3 linked regions of the Pelodiscus sinensis genome follow. Each later gene encodes a partner of the first gene's protein in a complex. Links are inferred from orthologs where the notes say so. Each region holds a gene or a part of one and is shown in the gene's direction. Other genes may lie near its edges.

What was found.
Region 2: the proteins of WDR59 (region 1) and MIOS are in contact, whole or in part, in a cryo-EM structure (PDB 7UHY), measured with the Homo sapiens proteins. The link is inferred for Pelodiscus sinensis from reciprocal best matches to the Homo sapiens genes WDR59 and MIOS. Residues at the interface, in NP_085058.3 of Homo sapiens: Tyr871, Arg876, Glu877, Arg879, Ala880, Glu881, Leu883, Lys884, Pro889, Pro890, His893, Lys894, Gly895, Ile896, Glu897, Phe898, Gly899, Val900, Tyr901, Arg906, Glu908, Val909, Arg910, Thr912, Phe922, Gln923, Ala925, Ile926, Cys927, His928; in NP_001357005.1 of Homo sapiens: Asp705, Trp710, His711, Arg713, Ala714, Ile718, Ser721, Lys728, Pro729, Leu730, Ala731, Gln732, Val733, Phe734, Val735, Ser736, Cys737, Asn738, Phe739, Ile744, Lys780, Pro781, Leu782, Pro783, Leu787, Cys788, Leu789, Gly793, Pro795, Gln819.
Region 3: the proteins of WDR59 (region 1) and SEC13 are in contact, whole or in part, in a cryo-EM structure (PDB 7UHY), measured with the Homo sapiens proteins. The link is inferred for Pelodiscus sinensis from reciprocal best matches to the Homo sapiens genes WDR59 and SEC13. Residues at the interface, in NP_085058.3 of Homo sapiens: Ala525, Tyr526, Gly527, Asp531, Ala532, Asn533, Ile534, Pro535, Phe536, Pro537, Arg538, Thr539, Ser540, Gly541, Ala542, Arg543, Phe544, Cys545, Gly546, Ala547, Tyr549, Val551, Phe553, Thr554, Arg555, Met557, Ala644, Gly645, Lys646, Val647; in NP_899195.1 of Homo sapiens: Val4, Ile5, Asn6, Thr7, Val8, Asp9, Thr10, His12, Asp14, Met15, Ile16, His17, Asp18, Ala19, Gln20, Met21, Asp22, Tyr23, Tyr24, Gly25, Leu28, Val42, Pro59, Trp61, Gln62, His67, Pro68, Tyr79, Ser105, Asn107.

The regions. Positions count from the first base shown.
Region 1 is NC_134722.1:48,050,344-48,058,174, forward strand, and holds the start of WDR59 (GATOR2 complex protein WDR59), read left to right. Parts: upstream 1-4,738; 5' UTR 4,739-4,852; coding exon 4,853-4,906; intron 4,907-7,831. Other genes in the region: E3 ubiquitin-protein ligase ZNRF1, read right to left, coding at 1,533-2,289. UniProt on the Homo sapiens protein: As a component of the GATOR2 complex, functions as an activator of the amino acid-sensing branch of the mTORC1 signaling pathway. The GATOR2 complex indirectly activates mTORC1 through the inhibition of the GATOR1 subcomplex.
Region 2 is NC_134712.1:209,684,784-209,691,831, reverse strand, and holds the start of MIOS (GATOR2 complex protein MIOS), read left to right. Parts: upstream 1-4,047; 5' UTR 4,048-4,295; exon of another isoform or gene 4,296-4,494; intron 4,495-6,325; 5' UTR 6,326-6,400; coding exon 6,401-7,048. UniProt on the Homo sapiens protein: As a component of the GATOR2 complex, functions as an activator of the amino acid-sensing branch of the mTORC1 signaling pathway. The GATOR2 complex indirectly activates mTORC1 through the inhibition of the GATOR1 subcomplex.
Region 3 is NC_134721.1:19,785,474-19,792,499, reverse strand, and holds the start of SEC13 (protein SEC13 homolog), read left to right. Parts: upstream 1-3,967; 5' UTR 3,968-3,982; coding exon 3,983-4,030; intron 4,031-6,163; coding exon 6,164-6,208; intron 6,209-7,026. UniProt on the Homo sapiens protein: Functions as a component of the nuclear pore complex (NPC) and the COPII coat. At the endoplasmic reticulum, SEC13 is involved in the biogenesis of COPII-coated vesicles.

The DNA.
Region 1 (7,831 bases):
TAACAGCTGGGAGACCCAGGAGGGGCATTAGTCCATTTTGCAAATCAGTAAGCAAGCAAGAAAAGACTGACGTTCAGATCATGCCTCTCAGAAAGGTACTTTGAGAAGGGCAGCTCCACTCTAACAGAACAGGTGCCATCACCTACAACTGGGTGGGATTCCACTGCAACACTGACACTTGGCATGATTATACTGGCTTTCAGGAGCTGACAACATGCCACACAGAAGAATCATTGCTTTAAAAAACAGAGAAGGAAACTGAGGCAGGCAGCTGCACAGTGTCACACGGCAGGGCAGCTAGAAGAGAGCCCAGGAGTCCCAACTCCCAACCCTGTGCTCCAGTCACTAGGCTTTCTTGACTGTCTGGGGTAACAGCAGAACAGTTGGGGTACCCTACATTAACTCAGGGCACCAGAGAGCACCTGTCCAAGTGGCAGCAGCAAGCCCCCTCGATTGGGAGAAGCGGGTCCTATGAGTCTTGCTTTGCATTTCACTCCCTTGTCCTACGTTTGCTCCCCATGAAAGGAGGCATGCTCTTGAGAGGTACTAGGAGATTCCCAGAACAAGGTCATTGACAGCACTCAGGAAGGCGGTGGAGGGGGAGAAAGTCCCAGACTATTCCAGGAAACAAGACACCATCCCTGAAATGACTTCACAGCAGGGAGGGCTCCCACTCTTTCCCTGCCTTAGGTCTCTGACAATCCCACTGGGACAGCCAGCCCGGCCAATGGAGCTGTTTAGGAGCGAGGCGGGGGGGGGGGGGGGGGGGGGGAGGGAGGGGAGGGCTTCCTCTCTCCCTCAGCCCTAACAGATTTCCTACAGCAGTGCCTGCTCACTCCACAGTATCCTCAAGCAGGCCAGACAAGTCATTTCCTCTCTCTCCACTTGCTACAGGGCATCCTGACTATGCCAGCTGGTCGGATGGGAAAACCCCTTCGGCCTCTTTTTGTGGCCTCTTCCCAGAAGAAAGGGCACAAACTCCTACTTCTCATTTTCAGGTTTCCCAGACCCTCCCTTCTTCATTTTTTTCCTGAAGACATCCAGACACTAGAGACTATAACCACACCAGCCCAAAACCCGGCTCAGTCCTTCCCAGCAAACTACTTGCCCTGGAGCGGGTTTACACCACCCCAGGCTACTTTTGCCGGAGCTGACCCACCCCCAGACAGGCGGCAAGGGAGGACACTCAGGCCTGCCGTAGAGGCCTCTAGGAGAGCCAAGGCAGAGCAGGGAGGGGAAGGCCAGGGCAGGTGCTGGCAGCTTTCTGCCTGGCACGGGCCCTGTGCCCGGCTGGCTCTGCTGGGCCAGGCGGTCCGGTTACAGCGCCCGGGACCGGGGTGCCGCTGAGAACACGGGCCCGGGCCCGCAGGGAGCAGCCCACGGACACCCCCCCGGCCCAGGCTCACCGCCCCCGCGCCCCCCCCCCCCCGGCCCGGCCCGGCCCGGCCCGGACTCACCGCCCCCGCGCCCCCCCCCCCGGCCCGGCCCGGACTCACCGCCCCCGCGCCCCCCCCCCCCCGGCCCGGACTCACCGCTGTGCGCGCTGAACCAGCGGGGCGCGATGTGCAGCGCGTCGGCCAGCGAGGCCCGCGGGCCCAGGTAGAGCATCCCGTCGCCATGGCGACCGCCTCCCGTCTCCTGGTAACCGTTGCCATGGGCGTAGGTGGAGTCCGCGGCCGAGCCGCCGCCGGCCGGGGCCCGCTCGGGGTCGGCGGCCGCCCGCGCGTACAGGCCGAAGGGCCCGGCGGCGGCGGCGGCGGCGGGGTCCATGCCGGCCACCGAGCTGACGGAGCGGCTGCGCAGCCCCATGGCGCCGCCCGCGCGGTAGGGCCCGAAGGGGGGCGGCGCGCCCGGGGGGGGCACGGCGCTGTCGTCGCTGGAGACGCCCGGGAAGGGGTCCCGCGCGCGGCCCGCGCTGCTCTGCTTGCCGCCCATGGGCTCCGCGGCGCGGGCAGGGACGCGGGGAGGCGGCGACGGCACACTAGGAATTAAAACCGCGCCGCGCCGCCGGCATGGCCCCCCCGCCGGGCCCCCGGCCGCGCAGCCGCAGCCGGAGCCGGGGGGAGGGGGTGGAGCAGGCGGGGGCCGCGCGCCGCGGGGGAGGGGGAGCAGCGAGCAAAGGCCGCCCGCCCGCCTGGCTGCGAGGCCGGGGCCCGCTAGCACCCGCAGAGCCGACCCGCGCGCGCGCCTGACTCGGGGCCGCAGGGGGCCTGGTCCGTGGAGCGAAGTCTCCCGCCGCCTCGCTCGCGGCTGGGGCCAGCCGAGACAATAGGGGCCGCCCGCGCGCATGCGCCGCGCTTCGCTCCGCCCCGCCCGCATTAACCCCTTCACTGCCGGCGGCGGGGGCGGGGGGCGCTGTCGCCCAGGGCCGGTGCAATGACGGTGCCTGTTGCAATACACCAGTGTCAGAGCCTGAGTCCCAGAGCCTGCCAGGAGCCTGCAGGGCCCATTGGGACAGGCACCGCACCAGGGCCCAGTCAGGGCTGGGGACCTTGCTTGGGTTGGGGGCCGCTGAGCCACAGGAACATCAGTCAAGGGCGGCCGCAAGTCCAAAGAACCCCCCCCCCCCCCACTGAGAAGGAGACAGACACTCCCCATGGTCCCCTTGCACACCCGTGCCCCCAGGCTAGTACACTTTGTGTGCTCCAGCCCGTGGAGGGATGGCGGAGGGGTGGAGCACCAGTGCAGGCTCCCCAGTGCTGGGGAGGGAGAGCCCCAAGCTTCAGGGACCGGATCCGCCTCTGGCCCCCAGGCCTTAGATTCCCTACCCCTGCCCTGAGCTATGTCAAGTTTAAAATCCCCACTACCACGACCCAAAAATGTTTGGAGTCCTGTGGCACCTTATAGACTAACTGAAGTGTAGGAGCATAAGCTCTCGTGGGCAAAGACCCACTTCATCAGATGCACCTTAGTCTATAAGGTGCCACAGGACTCCTCGCCGCTTTTGCAGAGTCAGACTAACACGGCTACCCCTCTGATACTTGACACTAAAAATGTGTATTATTCTAACAGAAAGGACAATGGCAATAGAAATAATAAAGTTGTATCATTTGCATCTCTCCCAGTACATAAGTGAAAATGTGCCTAAAAATGAGTAATTTTTTTGTATTTAAAGGCCCCTCTGAATCTGAGGCCTTAAACTGTAGTTAACTTGTGTGTCAATCCAGCACTGCGACTGTACTGATACACAAGAGACAGGCAGGGTCCTCATATGCTTACCACATTTCAATAGGTCAGGTAGGCAAAGGAAAGATAAATATTTCAATTTTAAAGTTGGGACATCGCTGAAGCATAGACAAACGAGTAGCTTTCCTCATACAGGTGACCTGGTTCATTGACTTCAGTGGATCTGCTCAATTGCTCATGTGTGTAATGTTATACACATATACATGTAGAACTTTTCTGATCTCTGGAGCAGAGACTGTATTTTGTATCTTGCACACAGAGAGCACACTGTCAGCTCTTAATAATGATGCACCCAGCCCATTGGAAAAATGTCCTGTCCTTGTGCACTTCCTCCACACTACTGGAGGCTCTAATAGCTTCCATGGTAAGGAAGTTTTTCAAGTTGTACTTGAAATAATTCCTCTCCCTTCCTGTCATTTACAGCATTTGAATATTTGTAGATTATCATCACGTCCTCCCTTTGTCCATGATTGTGCAATTGACTACAAAATTCAGTGGCGTGCCACGTGGATGTAAAGCTTTACTCTTTACTCATCTCATTGCAGAGTTTGAGGCCTGAGATTGTAACACACAAACAGAAAAAAACCAACAACGGTGACTTGATATGGTAGAGTTGAGTGAAATAGTTTTTACTTTCTCAGCGTTCTAAGTGCAACAGGGCTACACTGAAAAGTTCTCAAAGCAGCAGTAGTAGGAACTTTTTAGAATATGATCATCAACCTAATTCACTTTTCACTATTTATATGTATTGCTTACTTTTTGCATTTAACTTAGCTTCTGCTAGGAAACGGACTAGTCAGTTTTATTTAAAGTTATTTCCTAGTTAGTTTTGCTTTCAGGTTCTCAAAATGTTATGGTTTTTTCCAAAGTTACAACATTGATTTGATACTTTGAAACTTTACTATGGAGAAGAAAAATTCTGCTTTTAATCATATTCATTTGAATGAAGCATGCATAGAAGAGTTTCCTTACCTTGTCAATTGTTTAAAAACTCAAGTTTAACACAGTACTGCACTGTGTTTGCTTTTTGGGGGCTCTCTGCTGCTGCCTGATTGTGCACTTCCATTTCCAGATATGTTGTGACTGTGTGGTTGACAGCTCAGTCCCTATCTCAGGCATTTATAAAGTGGAGGTTCTGCCACTGACATGAGTAACCCCAGTAACCTCACCTAGTACAGTACAATACACTGCCACATTTGCAAGATCCAGGATGTGAGCCCTGGTATGAATTTCAGTGGGACTGCTCATGTAAGCTAAACAAAGCACGTGGCCAAGTGCTTGCCAGACTGGGGCCGTTGCAAGGGCATGGCAACTCGCAGACATGACACTACTTTGTATTTGTAAAGGCATTTTGTAACACGGGCGTCACACGCTACTCATGGCTCGCTAGGAAATGCAGGGCCTGCCCTCCCCGGGCGTCTTGGGCTGAGGCACGTGGCCGCACAAGTAACAGCTGCAGAAGAGAGCGTGGGAGCCGGACAAAGCCAACTCGCTGCTGCTCCTGCCCGAGCTGGGGGGACGGACAGACAGGCAGGCAGCTGGCGGGGAAGAGCCTCGCGTTTGGCAGCAATCCCCGCCCCGCCCCTGGGACTACAACTCCCAGCAGGCCTTGCGCTTCCGGCCGCACCGTACGCAGCCGCGCCCCCTGGCGCTGGGGCGGCGCAAGATGGCGGCGCGCTGGAGCAGCGAGAATGTGGTGGTGGAGTTCCGGGACTCGCAGGTAACGAGCCCGCTCGGCCTGGGGAGCAGGGCGCATGCGCCGCGGGCTCCCCTCCCCCTTCTGCACCCCCCAGCCCTACCCCCCCCGAGCCTGCACACCCAGCCTGAGCCTCCCCCTTCTGCACCCCCCAGCCCCACCCCCAACCTCCCTCGTCCCCAGCCCCCCCCGCATCCCTGCTCAGAGCCCCCTTCTGCACCCCCCAGCCCCACCCCCAACCTCCCTTGTCCCCAGCCCCCCCCGCATCCCTGCTCAGAGCCCCCTTCTGCACCCCCCAGCCCCACCCCCAACCTCCCTCGTCCCCAGCCCCCCCCGCATCCCTGCTCAGAGCCCCCTTCTGCACCCCCCAGCCCCACCCCCAACCTCCCTCAGCCCCAGCCTAGCGTCCAGAGCAGTCTCTGTTGGGGAGCCCAGCCTGCCATGGATGGGGCTGCTCTGGCAGGGGCTGGGAGCACGAACCCCAGTGGGCTGGAGCAGCTCCCTGCCCAGAACCTGGTTAAGTGTTAGGTCAGCTTAACCAGGATTTTCCATCCTTTCTTCCCCGTAGACATTCAGGAGTGGAAGGGATCACAAGAAGTCATCACGTCCAGGTCCCTGTACTGAGGCAGAATCAAATAAATCCAGACCGTAGCTGAGAGTTGTTTCTCTAGTCCCATGGTCACCAACCTGTCTATCACGATCGACTGGTCGATCCTTGAGGCTCAACCAGTCAATCATGAGGCTTTGGGGGCCCCCCCTCGCTGCCCCCCACCCCCAAGATTAATGCTGCAGTGATGCTACCTCCAGGGACTATGGAGGTAGTGTGGGCTTCCTGCGGGGTCGCAGGGAGTTTTGTAGCTGCACGCCAGGCCCCAGAAGTGCGTGGGCTGCTCCCCCCGCCCCCAGCAGCCGGCATGGTACCTAAAATGCCGATCTGTCGCGCGCTGGGGACTTTGTTCCCCTGCTGCCTTCCTGTGCACAGGGGAATGGGTGGGGGTCCAGGACTGCACTGGCTCCAGCTGCTCAGGTGGTGCGTGCTGCCATGGGGAGCAGAGGAGCAAGGCACGCGCTGCCCGAGCAGTTGGGGCTGGCGCAGTCCAGGACTCCCCCTTCCCCTGTGCAGGAAGGGATCAGGTGTGCTATGGACCAGCATTTCAGGTACTGCACCATTGTTTGGGGGACGAAGTAGCAGCCTGTGCACTTGGTGTGTAACTGCAGGATCCCGAAGTACCCTGTCCCCTCCCCCCCACCCAACCCCCCTTCCCCCACCAGCACAGTTGGGGCCACATTAGTGAGGTTTGGAGGGGTTGTGTTTTTGTATCTCACTTGTGTGGCCCCAACTGACTTTTCTGTGGGTCAGTGACCCCTGACTCAAAACAGGTTCCCTGCCCCTCTCATCAATAAAGACAATGCTGAAATCTTTTGAGTTTGGCAGAATATTTTCTTTCAAAATGAAGCCTGGCCAACAAGCCCCCAATTGGGGCCAAGCCCCCATCTGGCCACAGCATCATAACACTCCTGTACCCCCCACTCCGACCCTAAATCTGAGCCTATTGTACACTGGAACCCCCTGGCCTGAGCCTCTCACATCCCCAAACTCCTGCACCCCCACATTCTCAGTCTTCGGCCACAACACTCCTGCACCATCCACACATCACAAATCTGTGTCCTGAGCCCCTCACACCCCCAACCCAAACTCCTGCACCCTCACATCCACAAGCCTGTGGCTTGCTCAGCACCCCAACCCTCCACCTGAGCCCAACATTCCCCAGCCTGGAGCCCCCTCCCTGATCCAGCATCCCCTTCTCCACCTCCTCCTGCATCCAAATTCCTTCCCAGAGCTTGCACCTCTCACCCTTCCCCACACCTAAATCCCTCATTCCCACCCCAGAGCCTGCACCTCCTGTCTCCACCCGGGGAGGGTACGGCTAGACTGCAGGAGTTTTTCCGGAAAACACGCTCTTTTGACAGCCCCTGTATTCCTTGTTCCACAAGGAATGAGGGGGCTTCCGAAAGAAGGGGGTTTCCGACATTTGTCCCAGTCCAGACGGGCCAAATGTTGGAAAAATCTCTTCCAACGCAAGGATCGAAAAAAGCGGCAGTGTAGCCGTACCCTGAGAGTGTATAAGGGCTGGGGATAGCAAGTGATGGAGAGAAGGGGAACAGAGAGGGCAGGGTCTCAAGGAAGGAGTGTGATCTTGGGGAAGGTTGGGTATAGATCTTGGCTTGTCCTGACATTTAAAAAGTGATCTTGGGTGTAAAAAGATTGGAGACCGCTGCTCTAGTCTGTTCTTAACAACCTCCAGTGACAGATGCCTAGTTAATTTGGTGCAGCACTTACCTACCCTGACAGTGGAGAACTTTTTCCTGATGCTTAACAAACTCTCGCTTGCTATTCAAACCCATTACTTCTGGTCCCATCCTTAGTAGTTAAGGAGAATGATTTCTCACCCTCTTTAGAACAGACTTTTTTATAGTTGGAGGCTGTTACCATGTCCTTCCCAGTCATTTCTATTCCAGACCAAACAAACCCAATTTTCTCAGTCCCTCCTACAGGTTGTGTTTTCTAGATCTTTAAAACATTTTTCTAGGTCTCCTTTGGCTTCCTCTGGTTTGTCCTCATGTTTCTGCAAGTTTGGCGCCCACAGCTGGACACAGGATTCCAGCACACCTGCTAACACATCAGAACGGTTACCTGTTTGGGGCAGCAGTGTGACTTTATTGACTGTCATTTAGATGGTGATCCGGAGTAAATTATTGTGGATCCTTTTCTGCATTATTGCTTCCTAGAGAGACACGGGGGCAGGGGGAGAAGAGTTGGTTTTTTTAATTGGATACATTCCTCTTGAGAGAGGCAAGTTTTCAAAGTACGCAGAGCTCTGTAAGAGCTCTCCCACCAACAGAAGTCTCTTCAGTAAAAGCTCTCTTGGCTTTCAAGGACCCTGGCAG
Region 2 (7,048 bases), on another chromosome or scaffold:
AGACGTAGCCCTGGTGTAATCCATTCAGCATCGTGAGACTTAGGCACCAGACTAAGGGTATGTCTACACTACAGTGTTATTTCGAAATAGCTTATTTCGAAATAACGTGTCTACACACAAAATGCATTTAAAAATAGCGTTTTGCTAGTTTGAAATAGCGGGTCCACACTGAGTGGACTCTGACTCGCATGTAAGGCTGGCCAGAACCAGTTCCAGCAGGGCACACTTACTGTGTGGGGCTGCTGCCTGAGGTTATCTGAGGTCTGTGCTTTAAGGGACCCCCCCGGACAGCCAGTTCTCAGCTTTCCCATCCTACCTCGATGAGGGACAGCCCCCTGGACACTTTGGTGCTTCTCGTGGATGCGTTGCTATCAGCCTGGCTGCACTTGCTGCAGGCTGTCATCCGGGAGGTCCATCGAGGGGCTGTCAGTATCCAGGAGGCCCTGTGGGAGAGCGTCCACTCAGAGCCTCCCTGGTCTGCCCACTGGGGGCTTGTGCCTCATTCCTCCCTCACGTCCTTCAACGTACCCCTCCCTAGCCCCCCTTCCTGATGTCAAATAAAATACATGTATTTTAAAAAATATCAAGTCTTTTTATTTAACAAAACTGGGGGGGGGGATTAAACTATGGGGAGACTGGGGAAAGGAGGCAGGAGCGGGGAGAGGGAAACCTGGGTGGAGGGAGCTGGAAGGGGGAAGCACGGGGAAGAAGGGGGAGGGGAAGCTCAGGGCCAGGGGCGGCCCGTGCCTATAGGCAAACTAGGCAGCCGCCTAGGGTGCCAAGTTGCATGGGGCGCCAAATTCCAAACTCTGCCCCTTCCATTTCCCATGCCTTACCTGGAGCATGGCTTCCCTGCGACCAGGAGGGGGGTAAGTCAGCACGCAGGAGAGGGGGGGTTCCCCTGTGCCACGGGGGGGTTGGCCCCGGGGGAGGAGAAACACATGGAGGGTTTCCCCTGTGCCGTGGGGGGGGGGTCACCCTGGGAGAGGCGCGTGCCGGCTTCTCTCGGGGGGGAGGGATCTTGGGAGGAGGTGGGTGCAGGGGAATCTCTCCCCCGACTGGCACCCTGTACCCTCTCCCCGGCCCCCAGCCCCCAAACTCCATCCCCATCCCTTGGCCCCCAGCCACAAAACTCCAATTCCAACCCCTGGCCCCAAGCCCCCAACCCCCTGGCCCCAGAACTTCATCCCCAACCCCTTGACCCCCAGCCACCGAACTCCATCCCACTGTGTGGCACGAGTTGGAGCCACCTGCCCAGGGGTGGCACGGCACGTGCTCACGTGCACAGGTTGCTGCAAGATCCGTGGTAAGCAAGGCCCATGCGCACGGTCCCTGGTCTTCCTCCCCACCCCCCCCCCCAGGAAGGGGACAGTGATGGCACTTGCCTGGTGTGGCTTCCCCGGCCGACCCTGGTGACTCCACTGCTGGGACAGCTCCTCTTCCATGCCCTGATCAGGGCCCTCTGCTCCCGGCTCGCTGCCCCCTGGGCTGGCATGGACCATCCCACCCCCCAGGATACGGTCCAGGGCCTCGAAATGGGGGCAGGTATATGCCCCTGTTGGGGAGCTGCCCTGTTTGGCCCTGGCATATCCCTGCCTCAATTCTTTAATTTTCATGCGCACGTGTTCTTAGGTGTGCATGTGGCCTTTAGTGGCCATGGTGGCAACTATGCGGCTGTAGACGGCCGCGTTCCTTCATCTAGTGCGGAGATCATGGACAGTGGAGACCTCTCCCCAAACCTCAATGCGGTCCATGATCTCCGCACTAGTCCAGGTGGAACGAGGTGTACCGGTAGTTTGGAATAGGAACCTAGTCCGAACTACCTAGTTCGAGCCCCGTGTAGCCACGCTACACGGGGTTCGAACCAGCGGGGATTTAAAAATGGCGGCTCCCCGCTTATGCAAATGAAGCCCGGGAAATTCAAATCCCGGGCTTCATTTCCAAGTGCGGTATGCCTACATTACCCTCCTAGTTCGAATTAGGAGGGTAGTGTAGACATACCCTAAGTGTCTACACAGCAATTATTTCTGATTAGCTATTCCGAATTTATCGTTATTCCTCATAGAATGAGGTTTACCAAATTCGAAATAAGTGCTCCACTATTTCGAATTTATTTCAAAATAGCGGTTTGGCTGTGTAGACGCTAGTAAAGTTAATTTGAAATAACGGCTGTTATTTCGAATTAGCTTTGATGTATAGACATGCCCTAACTGAAGAAGTGAATTATTTTGGTAATAACGAAGGGATAGTAGGTGCCATGCACTTTCTGTGGGCAAACATCAACTGCGTAAGACCCTGGATTATGTTCAAAGCCATGGTTTGGTCCCCAAGTCTGGGCAAAAATATATTGGTAAACTATAATATATCATAGAATCATAGAGCTGGAAAAGACCTCAGAAGATCATCAAGTCCAGCCCCCTGCTCTAGGCAGGACCAATCCCAACTAAATCAACCCAACCAGGGCTTTGTCAAGCCAAGACTTAAACACCTCTAGAGATGGAGACTCCATTACTTCCCTAAGTAACCCATTCCAGTGCTTCAGCACTCGCCTAGTGAAATAGTTTTTCCTAATATCCAACCTGGACCTCTCCCACCACAACTTGAGACCATTGCTCCTTGTTCTGCCATCTGTCACCACTGAGAACAGCCTTTCTCTATCTTCTTTGCAAGCTCCCGTCAGGAAGTTGAAGGCTGCTATCAAATCCCTCCTCACTCTTCGCTTCTGCAGACTAAACAGACCCAACTCCCTCAGCCTCTCCTCATAGGTCATATGCTCCAGCCCCCTAATCATTTTGGTTGCCCTCTGCTGGACCCTCTCCAGTGCGTCCACATCCTTTTTGTAGTGGGGGGGCCAGAACTGGACACAATACTCCAGATGTGGCCTCACCAGAGCTGAATAAAGGGGAATAATCACATCTCTGGATCTGCTGGCAATGCTCCTCTTAATACAACCTAATATGCCATTAGCCTTCTTGGTTACAAGGGCACAATGTTGACTCATATCCAGCTTCTTATCCACTGTAATCTCCAGGTCCTTTTCTGCAGAACTACTACTTAGCTGGTTGGTCCCCAGCCTGTAACAATGCTTAGGATTCTTCCATCCCAAGTGCAGGACTCTACACTTGTCCTTGTTGAACCTCATCAGATTTCTTGTGGCCCAATCCTCCAATTTGTCTAAGTCACTCTGGACCCGATCTCTGCCCTCAAGTGTATCTACCTCTCCCCCCAGCTTAGTGTCATTCTTAAACTAGGTCAACGGTAAGAAAAGTTATTGGTTTTTTTGTCCCAGGGGCTATATCTAGGGGACTCTTCAGTTAAATTACCCCATATTGGGAATAGTAATCATACCTACCTCCAGCTCTGACCTCTATATCTCCCACACACCAGCCTCTCCACCCTCTGTTCTGAGCCCTCCCCCACTATCCTGCGAGCCTCCCCATCCCCATTCCAATGGAAATGAAACTGTATTAATAACAGAAAATAAGAGTTATTGCTTTAATGATGCACATTTTCATTCACAGTATTTTCTATTACAAATTCGCTCAGGTTTTCGTTTTTACTTCTTGTCAGGTGGCATAGGTTCACTTCTGGTCGGATGTGACATAACGGTACCGGCTGGGCCTCACTCATAGACAGGAAAGGTGGATCCTCTTGACGAAGTAAAGCAGTTTTATAGCCAATATATTAGACAGGGGTTGGGACAGCCGCCCCCAGCCCTTATTGGATTAGTTGGTCAAGGGGTACAATTTACAGTGGACAGTAATTTTAAAGCAACGCCTCCTACGCATATAAACCTCCCAAGGGGCGGCGGGGGGGGGGGGCAATTGCCATATGGCAGCGCCGGTAAGAAATGCAAGTTACTTTCACCCCTGCAGGTATGTGATGGAGGGGAACGGAGGGGGCGGGTTTGGGACCCTGGGAGTGACTGGGGCGTGGGCGGGGCCTCGGGGGGGGGGGCGGTGGGCGGAGCAAGGACAGTTTTCTGCAATTAGAAAATGGTCCCCCCCCCTCCGCCCAGCAGGTGCTGGCAGAGGCGTCCCAGTGCAGATGGCGGCGGGCCCCGAGGCGTTCGGCGCTCAGTGGCTGGTAGCGATGCGGCCGCGGCCCTTCCGGCCACGCCCCCCGGCCGGCCGCCCCGAGAGCGGCGTGGAACCAGCGCTCGCGCCCCCCGGCCGGCAGTCGCCCTGGCAACTGCGGAGGCTTCGAGGCGGAGCTTCCCCGCAGGCCGCCAATCGAGCGGGATAAAATGCGTTAACGGCGCCGTGGTGACGTAGCCAAACGGCGCTTCTTACCGTGTACGGAAGTGAGGGCGCTGCCGGGGTCGCGTTGTGGCGTCACGCGCGGCTGCCGGGAGCGCGAGTGGCAGCGCTGGGGTTCGGCCCGGGAGGGCGGCTGCGCGCGCCCGCGCGGTGAGTGAGCGGAGCGGGCTGAGCCGTGGAGTGCTGCGCGGGGGGGCCGGTTTCTGTGCAGTGCTCCGAAGAGCGCGTCGTTCAGGTGACAGACCCGCCCCCCAGGCACGCGAAGGGTCTTTGGACCCTGCAGCCCCTGCTCGCTGGCTGGGTGCGGGCTTGGGGCAACTGCAGCGGGGCTGGGCGCCCCTTGTGGCACCAAGCCCCGTGGCTTGTGCTGGGGACTGCAGCAAGGGCCGTGTGCCCCTCCTCTGCAGTGCTCCCTACTGTGGGTGGGGAGAGCTGTGCAGGCTTGTCCTGCTGCTATGGAGTGAGGGGCTGTGTGCCTCCCCCATTGTAGCGAGAATTGGGTTCCCTGGCATGGTGGGGTTCTTGCCTCTTAGTCTCCCATGTGTGCCACCTGTTCAGCCCTGTCCCTGGTTATTTTTAACAAAGTCCCAGATAATCTCTGTGAATTTTTGTTTATTGGCTGTGACTTTTATTAAAAAAATACGATAATAAAATCTTAGCCTTATTGTTGAAGTCTGTTTCTGTGTAGAAAATTGTCCTGAAGCTCTCTACAGGCAGTCCCTGGGTTACGTACAAGATAGGGACTGTAGATTTGTTCTTAAGTTGAATTTGTATGTAAGTCAGAACTGGTACATATTGTAGGGGAAACTCTAGCCAAACATTTCTCCAGAGCTCAGTTTTATTCTCCCACACCTCACTTCCCTCAGTTCTTTATTCTCAAGCTGAGGTGTCTGCTGAGAAAAGCCGCTCCGCGTCTCCCTGGTCTGCTGGGGGGAAGCAGCTAGTGCGGGGTTGCCTCTCCCCGTTTGTAAGTAGGGATCCGATGTAAGTCGGATCCGTGTAACCCGGGGACTGCCTGTATGTTGCAAAATTGAGAACAACAAATTGATCAAGTATTTTGTAAATGCTTTTATGATATCCTAATACTTTAACAGGATATCAATTGGTTTCTTTTAAGTCTTTCATGAGAGGCTACACTTTTGCAAAATGGCATGACATTTTCCTCTAGTTTCACAATAAAAACACCTGTGATTTGACAGTCTTTTCATATTCTACATGAGATTAATTTTAACCTGAGATCATGTCATTCTCAGAGAACTCAGTGTTCACAGTAAGGATGTTAATGAATAGTTGACTAGATGGATTAACTGATTCGCTCAGGTTTATTGGTGAAGCTAGTTGACTACTTGCATTCTCTCCCCCCCTTCTTCCCCGCCTTCCCTCCCCCCCCCCCCCCCGCTTGCTGCCTCTGAATCAGAAGTAGCAAGGGGAGGGGAGAGAGCAGGATCCAGTGCTGGAGGGGAACTGGATTCTATCAGAGGCATGGTTAGGAGAGGCTGACATGAAGCAGCTTCTGCCTATGTGGGCCCTGGCTTGCTGTGGGCGGAGGCTGCTTCGTGGCAGCAGTGCGATGGACCCCTTCATCAGAAGCAGCAGTGTGAGGGTGACAGGGGGCTCCCTGGGAGTGGGGCAGGAGGGCACTGGCTGCAGGCCCCACCCCTGGGGACTGTAGAATAGTTGACTAACCACTAAGAATTCATGTGGTTAGCTGACACTTTTATTACCCGCTATCTAACATCCCTAGTTCACAGTAGAGTAGTATAATAAAGGAATACTAGTCCAACACATGGGAAATCCCGATGTCACTTCAAATAAGGCTAGCTGAATATTTTTCTCCCAATAAATAGAGAACATCAATAATGGACAAAAGAGGGTTGAGGGTGGAATTTTGAGGTGATGGGAGAGAGTTTTACAATATCAGGGTTAAGTGTATATTTAGTACTTGAATATTTGCCTTAAAGTTAAGACAAGGTCTTGCATTATTTTTAATTCATTTAAGATTATTTGGGCAACTACAAATATACAAATTGTTTGCTAAAACCCTTACCATTCCTTTTTTTTAACAGTTTCCATATGAATGGACATCACCTGAGTCTTACGAAGAAAATTTAAATTGCTTGTACTAATCTGCAGTTGCAAACATGAGTGGCTCCAAACCAGATATTCTGTGGGCTCCACACCATGTTGATAGATTTGTTGTATGTGACTCAGAATTGAGCCTCTATCATATTGAGTCTGCTGTGAGTTCTGAACTCAAAGCAGGATCCTTGCGATTATCAGAAGAAACTGCAGCTACATTATTGTCAATAAATTCAGATACACCGTATATGAAATGTGTGGCATGGTATCCTAAATATGATCCTGAGTGTCTTCTAGCTGTTGGACAAGCCAACGGTCGAGTTGTCCTTACAAGCCTTGGCCAAGATCACAACTCAAAGTCCAAAGAGTTGATAGGAAAAGAATTTGTTCCAAAACATGCACGGCAATGTAATACCTTGGCATGGAATCCATTGGACAGTAATTGGCTTGCTGCTGGACTAGATAAACATAGGGCTGACTTTTCAGTATTGATCTGGGATATTAGTAGCAAATATGCTCCAGAAAGTGCTGTTGCTACAGAGAAAACGAGACTTTCAGCTGGAGATACTGAAGCTGGGCTAGTAGTGACAAAGCCGCTTTATGAATTAGGACAGAATGATGCTTGTCTTTCTCTTTGTTGGCTTCCGCGTGACCAGAAACTTCTTTTAGCTGGAATGCACCGAAACTTGGCTATCTTTGACCTTAGGAAT
Region 3 (7,026 bases), on another chromosome or scaffold:
GTGTAGACAGCTCAGATTTGTTTTGTGCAAAAAAGCCCCGATCGCGAAAATGGCAATAGGGGCTTTTTCTGCGGAAAAGCGCGTCTAGATTGGCACGGACGCTTTTCCACAAAAAGTGCTTTTGCGGAAAAGTGTCTGTGCCAATTTAGACACTCTTTTCCGCAAATGCTTTAAACGGAAAACTTTTCCGTCAAAAGCATTTGCAGAAAATCATGACAGTCTAGACGTAACCTAAGTGTATTTAGAATCCAGGAGACTTTTCCTCCCATAAACTCTACTCCAGCTATGAGCTCTATGTGGCTGCATAGAAGCTCACTACAGGACTGGAACATTCATTGCAGGTAGCAGTTTTGACAGACTAACCTTTTAGATACTAACAATGGTTTCCTAACAACTGGAAGATACTTTTAACAGTTATTTGCAAAATTGGAAGTCAGGGGTCTGTTTTCCTTGATGTAACCCCAATACCATTGCCATGGCTCTCAACCAGTAGTATTAGAAAGACTAGTGCGTGCTGGCCAAAGTTTAGCAGTGTTTGGAACTGGGGTTACAAAGATAATCCCAAACCACTATAGTTTTAGCCAGATGTTAACTTCCACCAAGTTTGAGGCTGTTTCAGTTGAAATTTTGGCCTATTTAACAACATGGTTGTACCCTGTGCACTATTCTGTGTATTACTCACCTGTTAATGCCAGCTCTAACCTCCTAGTGCTGTTCTCTCAAAGACATTGGCATGGTCTACACTTAAAAGTTTAAAGAGCAACAGTGGAAGTGTTGTAACACAGCAGTCAGTGTGATCATGGCAGGGGTGTTGGGAGAGAGCTCTCCCAGTGCTCTTGGTAAACCACCACCATGACTGGAATAGCTAACAACTCCCGCTATAGCCTGACTTACCCTGGCCCTTTACAGCTCTATAACTTGCTACACTGGTTAGAGGGGGTTTCCACACCCTTGAGCCAGAAACTTACAGTGCAGTAAAATGCTAATGTAGACTTAGCCATTAAGTTAATGATAGGACAGCAAAACCAGTAGTTTAGGCCTTATCCACATGTGAAGTTGTTCCCAATTAACTGTGCTATGGTTCAGCTAAACCAAAGCAGGCATTCTTGTTTCAGGCTCAGTGTCCACACTATTAATCAGGAACAACTCCCTGTTGTAGGGTTGCCATCCATCTAGGTAGGGTTGCCAGATGGTCTCCCAAAAAATACCGGACGCCAGGTATTTTTTGGTCGAGCAAAAAAAAAAAGGAATGCGGGATAAGCAGCGATCGCAACCCCGCCTCCCAGCTGGGACTCACAGGCTGGGAGGCGGGGCCACGATCGGCACTGGGAACCTGTGATTGCACAGAAGCCTGGCGGGGAGCAGACTCCCAGCCACTCCCTCCACCCCTGCCAGGCTTCTGCGCAATCACAGGCTCCCAGTGCCGATGGCGGCCCCGCCTCCCAGCCTGGGAGTCCCAGCTAGGAGGCGGGGCTACGATCATCGATTTGGGCGCTTCAGAAGCCTAGCTGGGGTGGGGGGAGTGGCTGGGACTCCCAGAACTCTTCTGAAGTGCGATCGCGGCTCCGCCTCCCAGCTGGGGACTCCCCACCTGGTAATGCTCTGGGCACTTCAGAAGCCTTGCGGGGGCAGGGGGAGTGGCTGGGAGTTCCAGACACTCCCCCCGTCCTGGCTAGGCTTCTGAAGTGCCCAGAGGGGTGATCGCTGTCCTGCCTCCTAGCTGGGACTCCCAGGCTAGGAGGCGGGGCCACCATGGGCGTTGGGCCCCTGTGATTGTGCAGAAGCCTGGCAGGGGCGGGGGGAGTGGCTGGGAGTCCCAGCCACACACCCTGCCCCTTCCAGGCTTCTGCGCAATCACAGGCTCCTACCGCTGATCGTGGCCCCACTTTCCAGCCGCTCCCCCCGCCCCTGCCAGGCTTCCGTCCGGTGCGCAGCTGGAAAAATCAGAGAATCTGATTTTTTTTACCGGACAAAGAGTGCAAATACCAGACTGTCTGGTAGAATACCGGACACCTGGCAACCCTACATCTAGGTATTACCTGGGGGGCTTGGTTTTGTTTGGGTTTTTTTGGCTTCTGTAGCCTGGGTGATTTGGAAGGCAATCCCTTAATCTGGGGAAAGTGGGAAATCTAGCAGCAGGAGACACTATGGTCCGTGGTTCTCAAACTTTTTGGGCTCCGGATCCCTTTACATGTGTAAAAATGTATGCGGAGCCCCAGCAGCCCACTGATTCTGTGTTGTACCTATCCCTGTTTCCAGTTTGTCAACCTCGGGGAGACCCTGGAGATGTCTTGAGGAGCCCTGGGGCTCCGTGGAGCACAGTTTGAGAAACACTGCGATAGTCTATGGGGTCCAGGGGAAGTTTAGGGCCGTTGTGACTGACGTTTTAGGGAGTAAGTAAAACTCCCCTTCCTTTTGTTTCATCACTTCATCTGAGAGAGGTGAATGCTCGCCAGGCTGGAGAGAAGAGAGGGTCACGCACCCTCTGCAGTAACTGCAGTTCTTTGATAGCGGCGGCCCTGTGGGTGCTCCACCTTCGGTATTTGGATGCGCCGTGCTGGGGCACCCACAGGGCCCGCCGCGAAGAAGCAGGGCAGGCCGGAGCAGCGCAGCTCGCCGCGGGGGCTGGGCAGCAGCACAGGCTGAGCGGCGCGGGGCCTGAGGCGGCTCTGGGCGGGGAGCTGGGCCCGAGCGGCGGGCGGAACTTTGGCGTGACGGGAAGAAGAGCGTGGGGCGCATGTTCCCAACCGGGGCGATTTCATCGCCGCACCGCGAACCCGGCCGGGACTTGCCACGTCTGAGCCGCCGGTAGCAGCCGCACGAGCCCGGCCCGCCCCGCCGCCGCCATGGTAAGGCCCCGCGAGCGGCTCCTTCCCACCGGGGAGGGACACAGCGTCTCAGGGGCGCGATCAGGTTCCTTCCAAGCCCCTGCCTTGCCCCCCCCCCCCGGGACGGGCCTTTCTCGCCGCCCTCCCTGGGGGGTCTCGCCGCTTTCTCGCTGACCCGGAGGGCGGGCGGGCCCCTCACTTCCCGGCCTGTGGTAGGCTCGCGAGCTTCCCGCGGCAGGGCCCTGGCCAGGTGAGGGCTCCAAGCCCCGTGCTCCTGGGCATCCCCCGTGTGATCGGCCACTAATAAAAAAGCGGGGGGGGAGTAGAGTGTAGGCTGGAGATGGACAAACACATCTTAGAAGAGGCAGCAGGAGCGTAGCCCCAGCTGCAGCTTTGGGCTGCACCACAGCCTAGTGCCTACTTAGAAGATCCGTGAACTTTAACCACCACGCTGGGCTTTCCTTGATATGGATACTGCCTGCTGTACACCTGGGGCTTGCGCTGCATTATCAACTCATATTGATTATAATTAAGTTGCTTAAGGGGTGGAAAGTCCAACCTGAATGAGGTTGTTATACTGACCCAGCCCCCCTGTGTAGCGAGCGCTCTATTGGCAGGAGGGCTTCTCGCAATGACATAGCTACTGCCTATCACTGAGGCTATGTCTACCTCAGACTTCACGCCTCTTTCAAAAGAGACTTTTTCGAAAGAATCTTTCGAAAAAGCCTCTTTCGAAAGAGAGCGTCTAGACTGCAATCTCTTCTTTCGAAAAAGTGAGCCACTTTTTCGAAAGAGAGCACTCAAGCAGTCTGGATGCTCTGTTTCTCAAAAACCCTGTTTGCATTCAAGAACACCTTTTTTCGAAAAAACACGTTCGAAAAAAGGCATTATACCTCATGAAATGAGGATTACCCCCATCGAAAGAAAAGCCACGTTCTTTCGATTTAATTTCGAAAGAATGTGGCTGTAGTCTAGACGCAGGTGAAGTTTTTTCAAAAAAAGGCTACTTTTTTCGAAAAAACCCTGCAGTCTAGCCACAGCCTGAGGTGGATAAACTCCATCGATAGTAGCATCTTGCCTATTGGAATAATCATGTCTTCACTGAAACATTACAGCTGTAGACATGCTTTTATATAGCACTCTACATCCTAGGGATGTTTGGTATCCTTATCCCTGTTTCACAGATTGGAGGTACTTTACAGGTAAGTACTGAGCAGTGAAGTGATTTATTTATGGCCTGTTTGTCTAAACTGGAGTGAAAATTCTGGAGCTCTGGTAACTTATTTTAGATGCTGCCTAGTGGTCTTGTTGCTTTCTCACAAAGGGACTGTTAGCAAGATGCAGAATAGATACAAAAAGCAGACCCTGCCAACCAAAACAGGACACTGGCATTTTGAAGTGAGCAGTGCCAGGTAAATGAAGTCAGAATGTGGAGGAAGTCCCGGATTTTGAATGTCTGGTGAAGGTATCCTTTTGTCCTTCATCCTCAACATATATTAGGGATACTGAGTGTTTCAAGGGATGACCTTTACTTCAGCATTGCTACACTGTCCAGTCTGACTAAGGAGCTGAAATCACTGGGCTCTGATGGTGTCAGCAGACGGTCAGGGCAGTGTGTGTGGGTGTGTCTCCTAAGTCTTTAGCTGCTAAGACACGAAGTCTCGTCGCAGCGGGCAGCCCAGAAGGCTGAAAGGAGCCCCGAGAGTTTAACGTCCGTGACTTTACTGCTAGGACCGAGGTCCCGTCGCAGAGGGTAGCCAAACAGGCTAACAGACGTCCCAGTGTGTAGGAAGAGCTTATTACACTTCAGATTTTAGCTGCTAGAACACGGGAGAGGGGGGAAGTTCCTTCACAGCGGGCAGCCCAGGAAAGGCTGAGAAGTGCCCCAGTGGACCCTGTCACCTGGGAGTGACACAGATCCAAACGCCCAAGCTCTTCCTATAACTGTCCCTTTAGACCGGCTGAAGTTCTTTTAAATTGTGCTTGGTTCTGTTACAGCAACTGAAGGAGTCAGGTTAAAGCTTAAACAGTTACAGGTTTATTGAGGAAGCTTATAAATCATATGGTTGCAATGGCTATTGTTCTATTTCTTAACTGCTAGCAAAATATAGATCTTAAAAATGGTTACAAAGAAGATAGATAGAAAAATAGAAATAATGGTACCAAGTAACAGCTTACTCTTTCTATGTGTACACTTAAGACAGAGGACCACATCCAGGTACAATTTTTACCCCCTTCTGTGCGTCTCGACTCCAGCATGTCAGGCCAGGGCCGGTCCCTCAATTCCTAGGAAAGATGAAAATACGAGGTGGGCGTCCCTATAGAACCTCGGGAGGTCAAACACCTAACCTGACCAGCAGGTAGAGGGTAGAATGACACTCAAAGTGAGTGTGTGCTGAACCCATCTTTTATACCCATTTTGGGTCACGTATTTCTCTTTTTTTATCTGTGATGCCAAATAGTGCTGGTCTCCCTTTTGTGAGACCAATTCTTACAAGGGAGTTGTGAACTTAATTTACACTTGTAAGAGAGATAACTAAATTGGAATTACTGGGGGATTCTTTTCTCAGTGGGAAATTCCTCTCCCAGGGACTGTGTGTGTGTTCGAATCAACATGGGTGCCAGCTGGGGCAGTTCTCGCAGCCTCGAGGCCAGCTTATTGACTTAATTGCTCTCTCTCTCCACATATCTGTTTTTTCAGCTTCTCAGGATCAGATGAGCCAGCATAGACTATGCTGATTTTACTGCTCCTTCTCTGCCCTGTATGCTTCAGAGAGGCAAATAAGATGGATGATATGGGGGGTTGGTGTGTCTGGCTACAGATGGCTGTACAGGTGGCTCCTGTGAAATGAGTTTGGTTTCAGTCCAGTTTCCAAATTCTTGGCACTGAGACACGCTTGTTCATAGCCTCAGCAAACACTAGTCAGGGAGATCAAACTGTCTTTCCTCCCCTTCTAGACCAGGACAGAGACACAAAGAATTGGTAAGGTAATGTGGGGAAGCTTGCATTGCCACAGCCTGGGCTCTATCGTGTCCATAAATAAAAAGGATATTATTTTCCATGGAGGGCAAGCCACTGTTAAATTCACACTTACCAAAACCCAGAACGAAAGCAAAGGTACTTTCTCCACCTTAAATATAACATTGCAAAGGTAAACTAAGATTGACCTGAGATGAAGTTTTTATTGAATGGAAATGGGTTACATCCTTAGTGTAGCTTAGAGGAAAACATCTTACCTGAGTATTTTAATATAAAATAGTCTCTGAGTAAACTTCAGTTTCAGTCTCCCTGTTGGCATTTGTACTAAATGTAAGTGATTTTTTTTCCCCCTCAGGTATCAGTAATTAACACTGTGGACACTTCTCATGAAGATATGATTGTAAGTATTTATTTAAAAAAAAAAAAAAAGCTGAGAGTTTTGCTTTACTGAAGAAAAATTATTTTGATTTTTTTTTTAAATTGTGGTAATGGGGAAAATTCAGCTGTCAGTTACCTGTGCAATTCCGATTACTTCAATGAGTTTATCTATACAGCACCTTCTAGTTACAGCTTGTGTGTGTAGGTGGTAGGCACAAGGAGGTATGGGGATGTTACAGCTCTGGGTGGAAGAAAGCAAAAGACTCAGTTTGGAGTTGGCTGAAGGAGAAACAATTTAGAGCTCTCATTCTGATGTCTGGGACTTGCTACTGTGAAACAAATAAACAAAAAAACCCCTAAGAACGTAGGCTGTTGCTTGGAGAACACAGAAGAATGAAATTGAGAGAGTAGTGTGTGCATGTATACTTAGAAAAGGAATATAACACTTCAGCATGTGAGTCTTCCACCCCAAAGAACAGCATCTTCTCTCAGTAAGTACGCTTCCTTGGTGCTTTATATGAAAGGATGTCAAAGTGACTTACAAACATTGATTAATGAAGCCTGAGTACATGGGTATGGTAGGCCAGCATTTAAAAAAAATATTATTTTATAAAGAGGGAAGCTAAGAATGGGGCAATTAAGTAGCTTTGCACAGGGCTACAGCATCAGTGGCAGAGAATGGAGCCTCAGAGTACCATCTTTCTATCCATTGCTCTAACTTTTAGGCACTATTTATTTTTACTGTAGTGGGGTGATATACCTGTCAGAGAAATATGAAATAGCTATTAAAAGACAGATATTAAAAGTAATTCTTGACTAGATAGTGCAAGAAAAGTATCT